Linked DNA regions of Macaca mulatta. The protein of the gene in region 1 purifies or fractionates together with the protein of each later gene. This does not show direct contact. Links are inferred from orthologs where the notes say so. Each region holds a gene or a part of one and is shown on either strand. Other genes may lie near its edges. The genes, in order: MFAP1 and SF3B1.

Region 1 (3,822 bases):
AGAGACGGGGTTTTACCATGTTGCCCAGGCTGGTCTTCAACTCCTGGACTTAGGCAATCTGCCCGCCTTAGCCTCTCAAAGTGCTGGGATTACAGATGTGAGCCACCATGTCCATCCAATATTAAAGTATTGAGGTGGGGGAAACTGAGGTGCAGATTAAAGGAACTAGACTAGGATATCAGAGCAAATAGCCAAGTTTGGCCTGAAATACTAAACGTATGTTGAGGCATCCTAAGGCACCACAGCAAGCCAGCAAACTCATAGGGATGCATTGGGATTTTTTTTTGAGACAGAATCTCACTCTGTTACCCAGGCTGGAGAGCAATGGCGTGATCTCGGCTCACCACAACCTCCCCCTCCCAGGTTCAAGCGATTCTCCCTGCCTCAGCCTCTTGAGTAGCTGGGATTACAGGCGTGCACCACCACACCCGGCTAATTTTTGTATTTTTACTAGAGAGGGGGTTTCGTCATGTTGGCCAGGCTAGTCTTGAACTCCTGACCTCAGGTGATCGCCTGCCTTGGCCTCCCAAAGTGCTGGGATTACAGGCGTGAGCCACCGAGCGTGGCCTGCATTGGGATATTTTCAATAGCTCAAGGTAATTCAGTTTCAACATTAAGTCATATTACATTCCTTTTGAGAATATCGTATCTTCGTGAAATTGGGTTTTGGTGGCTGCTGTGGTAAAAAGTACAGTGTGAATATCAATATAAAACAAGACATGAAAAAGTGACAGTGCTGATTCCAAGGTCTGCAAGGCTGTCAGTGTCCAATAGGCACACAAATTCCACTAGTAACTGTGGTTATGTGAGAATGAATAAAAGTGTTTTTTTCCCCATGGGCACTGTAATTTTATTTATTTTTTCTTTTTTCTTTTTTGAGACGGAGTCTCACTCTGTCACTCAGGCTGGAGTGCAGTGGCATGATCTCGGCTCACTGCAACCTCCGCCTGCCAAGTTCAAGCAATTCTCTGCCTCAGTCTCCCAAAGTAGCTGGGATTACAGGTGCCCACTGCCATGCCTGGCTAATTTTTTTGTATTTTTAGTTGAGATGGGGTTTCACCAAGTTGGCCAGGCTGGTCTTGAACTCCTGACCTCGTGATCCACCTGCCTCGGCCTCCCAAAGTGCTACGATTACAGGTGTGAGCCACTGCGCCCGGCCATGGGCACTGTAATTTTCAAGTGGCAAAGTTATTAGGACATAAATACTTATTAAGTTACTTGGCTCTAACTACTTACTAACTAAAATAAACAGAACTGTTTTGGCCCAGGAGCTCTGTGAAAAAACCCCTGGGACAATTATGAACGGTGAAAGTTCAGGACCCCTGGTCTGCTCTATTAAGGTAATGTCTCAATCAGTATATAACATACAAAATCCCTCACTGGGAGACTTTCTACAATGAGACCTTTATGAGGTCTTTTCTCCTGCTTCAGTGTCATTTCCCCTTATTAGCATTTAGAATAAGCAGATGTATAAAATCAATTTACCAAAGTTTATAAAACATCTTTGTGCTAAAAAGACTCCCCTCAACAGCCAACGAATGGTCTGTGTTTTCTATTCCCGTAAGGAGTTGAGTAGGTCCTTTAGGCCAGAAGTAACCTGCTGTTTTCTGAAGCTGCCACTTTGTAACTTTGGTCATGTAACTTTCTTAGCCCCTTTGTGCTCTTAGTTTCCTCTTTTGTGAAATGGGGATAATAGCACCTATTTCATAAAGCTATTGTATGGATTACAACAATTAGCAAATGTCAGCTACTTGGCAGTACTATTCAAGTATTAGCTATTATTATTAAGCTGTAGAGGTTCATGTTCAAGTAAAACACAATCACAGACATTACCTCTCTTCCACATCTTCACTAATACGGTTCTGTAAACGCCGTAGCCGGGGGTCACTAGATGAATCCTCCTCCTGTTCCTCAGGCTCTGCTTCTTGTTCTTTGGCTTTCTTAATGAACTGAAATTCTTCATCTTCCTCATCTGAGGACTCCATAGGGGCATAGTCTGGCCTCTTTCCGGACACATAACGCTTTACCTTCACTTTTTCCATTGAAATCTCACCTGGGTGAGAAAAATAACTATGTTTCAGTAGCCTGTTTCTCAATGTGCTTCATCCCATTATGGCCTTTGCAAATAGAACCCTTTATTCATAGTAGACAAGAGTCTAAGCAGGAGAAGAAAAGAGCCACTACCCAACCATCTATTCATCTAATAGTGTTTTCCTACAAAGGCCAAGTCACGAGACTGCCTCCTTGTGAAAGCCAACACTGATGATAATGAGGCTTACCTTGAGTACAATGAAGTGGAGGAAGGCAGGCAGTGAAACAGTAGAAAAAAGTCCCCCGCAAAAAGGCAGACTGCATCCATCACAAATTCATGGCATCCCACCTCAACTATACCCTTAAACAAATTATTTGTAACAGTGCCCACCACATAGTAAGGATGATTTCTGCAGGAACATAAAACTAAAATGCTGCTCAGGCATTCTTGTAGTTCCCTCTGGGATTTCCACGGCAGCCTTTATAACATATTACCACATGACTCAATATTCTAATCTTACTTATTTCTACCTTCTTTTCCTTTACCTTATGTGTTATCAAACCTGCAAGAGTAGGTAATCTGTTATAAATACAATTCTTTTTTTTTTTTTTTTTTGAGACGGAGTCTCACTCTGTCGCCTAGGCTGGAGTGCAGTGGTATGATCTCGGCTCACTGCAACCTCCGCCTCCTGGGTTCAAGTAATTCTCCTGCCTCAGCCTCCTGAGTAGCTCGGACTAAAGGCATGCGCTACACCATGCCCAGCTAATTATTTGTATTTTTAGTAGAGATGGAGTTTCATCGTGTTAGCCAGGATGGTTTCCATCTCCTGACCTCAAGATCCGCCCACCTCGGCCTCCCAAAGTGCTGGGATTACAGGCGTGAGTCATAGCACCCAGCCTACAAATATAAACAATTCTAGTGAACAAAGAGAGACAGTGAAAACTAACCAACTTATTTTATGAGTATAACCTTGATAACCAAATTGGACAGTTCAAAGGAAAACTTTAGGTGGATTTCACTTACAAACACAAATACAAAAATATTAAATAAGAGCAAATTTATCCCAGCGATATAAAAACTACCAAAAAAAAAAAACCCGAAACAAAAAACCCCTAAGCCAACACAACTTATTAGAATTTAGCTCAAGACTACAAGAATAGTTTAACCTTAGAAAATTAATGAGGGGGCCAGGTGCGGTGGCTCATGCCTGTAATCCCAGCATTTTGGAAGGTTGAGGCAGGAGGACTGCTTAAACCCAGGAGTTCGAGACCAGCCTGGGCAACAAAGTTAGACCTTGTCTTTACTAAAAATAAAAAAATTAGCTGGGCATGGTGGTGTATGCCTGTGGTCCCAAGCTACATGGGAGGCTGAGGTGGGAGAATCACTAGAGTCCAGGAGGTTAAGGCTGTGGCGAGCCGTGACCACAGCAAGGCACTCACTTCAGCCTGAGTGATACAGTGAGAACCTGTGTCAAACACAAAAATATATATAGCTGGGCACAGTGGCTCATGCTTGTAATCCCAGCACTTTGGAAAGCCAAGATGGGCAGATCAGTTGAGGCTACGAGTTCGAGACCAGCCAGGCCAACATGGCGAAACCCCGTCTCTACTAAAAATACAAAAATTAGGCTGGGCGCGGTGGCTCAAGCCTGTAATCCCAGCACTTTGGGAGGCCGAGATGGGCGGATCACGAGGTCAGGAGATTGAGACCATCCTGGCTAACACGGTGAAACTCCGTCTCTACTAAAAAATACAAAAAACTAGCCAGGCGACGTGGCGGGTGCCTGTAGT
Region 2 (3,822 bases), on another chromosome or scaffold:
GAAGGAAGAGTTATAATTATTTTCTTGTCATCAGTTCAAGTCACTTACCTATCCATTAAAGCATCTTCAAGTAACGGTGTTACAGCATAAATGTAGTCTTTTCCCATTTCACCAATATATTCAAACAAGAAGGAAAGTGACTTTAACACTCCATTTTGAACATTCAGTTCAGGAACTCTGTATTCATTCATTAAGGCAGGGAGTACTGTGAAGGGTGAACATGTTTCCGCAACAATAGCTATTGCTACAGTGGTACAAACTCTGTTCTGCCTTTCTTGAACTTTGAGGTTGTTTAGAAGTGTAGCCAATACATCATGAGGGCTGAAAAAAAAAATGGGTCAACAAGCTGTTACATTATAAGTCAAAAATTTATGGAAGAAAAAATGCATAAAGATGAAAACTTTTAAATATTAATAATTACAGGGAACTCAGTAATTTTATAAAACGCAATACTTCCAAGTCACTGGCATTGTTTCTACATTAAAATTTCATATAAATTAAAAGGTCAGTTTTAAAAAGTTAACTCTGAGAAGATCAGAGGTCACAGCTGTACAAATTTTAAAAATTTTGGCCGGATGCAGTGGCTCACGCTTGCAATCCCAACACTCTGGGAGGCCGAGGCAGGCGGATCACGAGGTCAGGAGTTCGAGACCAACCTGGCCAACATAGTGAAACCCCGTCTCTACTAAAGACACAAAAATTAGCCGAGTGTGGTGGCACACACCTGTAGTCCCAGCTACTTGGGAGGCTGAGGTGGGAGAACCACTTGAACCTGGGAGGCAGAGGTTGCAGTGAGCTGAGACAATGCCATTGCACTCCAGCCTGCGTGACAGAGTGACACTCCTTCTCAAAAAAAAAAAAAAGTAAGTTAACTCAAATTAATTTTCATATGTAATTTTCAGTTTTTAAACTTTCTGAAATATAAAGAAATTTAACTAAATGTTTAAAGTGAGTAATTCTGAGTTGTCAAAATGGGCACTAGAACTAGGTAGGAGTGGTGAGGGGAATATCTGAATTGTGGTCTCCCATTATAAACCATATAAAATCTCTTTTCTTTCTTTTTTTTTTTTTGAGACGGAGTCTCGCTCTGTCGCCCAGGCTGGAGTGCAGTGGCACAATCTCGGCTCACTGCAAGCTCCGCCTCCCGGGTTCACGCCATTCTCCTGCCTCAGCCTCCCGAGTAGCTGGGACTACAGGCGCCCGCCCCTGCGCCCGGCTAATTTTTTCTATTTTTAGTAGAGACGGGGTTTCACCATGGTCTCGATCTCCTGACCTTGTGATCCGCCCACCTCGGCCTCCCAAAGTGCTGGGATTACAGGCGTGAGCCACCACGCCCGGCCATAAAATCTCTTTTCTTTTATCTTCCCTCCCACACAATTTGCTGCATCTATTTGCCTCTTCTTTGACATAAACTTAGAGGGACATTGGGGCTAAAAGCTTGCATGACAGCTATTCACTACAAATTTCTTGACTCCATCACCACTGAAATAAATATTATGCTACCAAAATAGGAGAGAAATTAGTGTGTGTTAGGGGAGGGGGTGTGGTCTGGTTAATTCTACCTAATTAATCAGACGTTCACATGTCATATTCCTTGAACACATTTTCTTAAGCCACATGGACATGTGGTGTCTCGTTTTCTTTTCTTTTTTTTTTTTTGAGACGGAGTCTCGCTCTGTAGCCCAGGCTGGAGTGCAGTGGCCGGATCTCAGCTCACTGCAAGCTCCGCCTCCCGGGTTCACGTCATTCTCCGGCCTCAGCCTCCCGAGTAGCTGGGACTACAGGCGCTGCCACCTTGCCCGGCTATTTTTTGTATTTCTTAGTAGAGACGGGGTTTCACCGTGTTAGCCAGGATGGTCTCGATCTCCTGACCTCGTGATCCGCCCATCTCGGCCTCCCAAAGTGCTGGGATTACAGGCTTGAGCCACCGCGCCCGGCCGTGTCTCGTTTTCTATAATGACTTTTTTCCTACTTTAGTTGTGATGGAATGGAAGCAAACAACCATAGATTATCTCACAAAGCAGCTATAATTCAGTTAAATCCGTGGAGTAATGTTAGAATAGCATTTTTGTTGTTTTTTTTTAGAGACAGGGTCTCGTACACTGGCACAATCACAGCTCACTGTAACCTTAAACTCCTGAGCTCAAACAATCCATAATACAACTTTTAAAACACATAAAGCATTAATATGAGACTTAAATGATGCTGTGAGACTAAAAATTTGCCTTAATAGTTTAAGCAATATCCTAAAAGACCAGTACACATTTTGTATTTTTCTGAAAATGGTACTGTTTCCCTCCCTGAAAACACCTAAAGTATAATTAAAGTAAATCTTAAACCCTTCCATCTATTTTAATTCAATTAAGAATTTAAGACTACAGGCTGGGTGTGGTGGCTCATGCCTGTAATCTCAGCACTTCTGGAGGCCAAGATAGGTGGCTCACTTGAGGTCAGGAGTTCGAGAACAGCCTGGCCCACATGGTGAAACCTCATCTGTACTAAAAAATACAAAAATTACCTGGGCGTGATGGCGCATGCCTATAGTCCCAGCTACTGGGGAGGGTGAGGCAGGAGAATCTCCTGAACCCGGGAGGTGGTGGTGGGTGCAGTGAGCTGAAATCAAATCACTGCATTCCAGCCTGGGTGACAGAGCAAGACTCCGTCTCAAAAAAAAAACAAACACACAAATTGAATTTAAGAATACATTCCAAAAATCAGAAGGTCAATGGTTAAATGAAGAGCTTTCTCAACTGCATTATTCAGACCATGCCTCAAAAGAGATTTCTACATGAAGTATTTTTCAACACCACAACGAATTTATTATAATTTTTTTTTTTAATGGAAGTAAGTGACACTCACCCAATGGCCTTTGCAATATAACCAAATGTGTTGACTGTGGCTCTACGAATAGCCTTTTTGTGGGCTTTTAAGAGCTCTAAAAGCTCAAAGCAAATCCTCATCCACTCTCTTGCAGACACATATTCAGCTCCCCTAATTTAAAAAATACACATATTATTTGTGACATTAGGAAAAGTTTTAAGGATAAATTTGCAAATTCAGTTCTAAAAACATGATTGTTAACTCATTTTAAGCATTAAATAAGAGTTATTCCTCTTCAGAAAGGCTGAAGAGTTAGTCTTACAGGTTTAGTCCTAAAATTACATGGCCACCCCATTACCATCCAAATTGAAATTTGACTGAAAATATTAATACTAGACAGCCTAATCATATACACTTATATTAGTGACATTAAGAAAATTTTGCTAATTGAATACAAAGTGGCCAAATTTGAAAATTGATACTGCTTATAAAAATGTGTGGGTAATCTGCTTACCTGTCAGCAATACGCCCAACAAGATCAATACAATTCTCTTGTACTTTTTCATGTCTGTTCTTTAAGATGGGGGTGAGTCTAGGCAGCAGATCTTTAATTGGTGGAGTCATCTTATGCATACCTATTTAATAGAAGTCAATAAACTATCAACATCTGAATTGCAACTTTTGTTCACTTTCCTTTTACTTAGCAACGTTATATATGACTATGCATAAATATAAACTTACAGCTGCCTATGGAAAGAGAAAGCCGCGGATTCTGACCAGACTCAGAATCGTTTTTAACTTTTATTAACAATTTTTGATTATGTATAGAAATGAAAGAAATCAGTGAAGTGATTTAAAGAATGATGGATACTCAATAACAAAAAAGTTTTGTTTGGTTCTGAAATGTATTTGTGCACTGACATTTAAATATGGGGACAGCTTATGTTCCGGCCGTACACAACAATATAAGCCAGAGGTAAACAAGTAAATAAAGCAAAAATT

The links.
Region 2: the proteins of MFAP1 (region 1) and SF3B1 purify together in Homo sapiens (co-immunoprecipitation; 3 studies listed by BioGRID and IntAct, with this or other methods). This does not show direct contact. The link is inferred for Macaca mulatta from reciprocal best matches to the Homo sapiens genes MFAP1 and SF3B1.

Annotation. Positions count from the first base shown.
Region 1 is NC_133412.1:21,198,388-21,202,209, forward strand, and holds part of MFAP1 (microfibrillar-associated protein 1), read right to left. Parts: intron 2,054-3,822; coding exon 1,834-2,053; intron 1-1,833. UniProt on the Homo sapiens protein: Involved in pre-mRNA splicing as a component of the spliceosome.
Region 2 is NC_133417.1:102,334,013-102,337,834, forward strand, and holds part of SF3B1 (splicing factor 3B subunit 1), read right to left. Parts: intron 3,456-3,822; coding exon 3,335-3,455; intron 2,992-3,334; coding exon 2,860-2,991; intron 322-2,859; coding exon 49-321; intron 1-48. UniProt on the Homo sapiens protein: Component of the 17S U2 SnRNP complex of the spliceosome, a large ribonucleoprotein complex that removes introns from transcribed pre-mRNAs.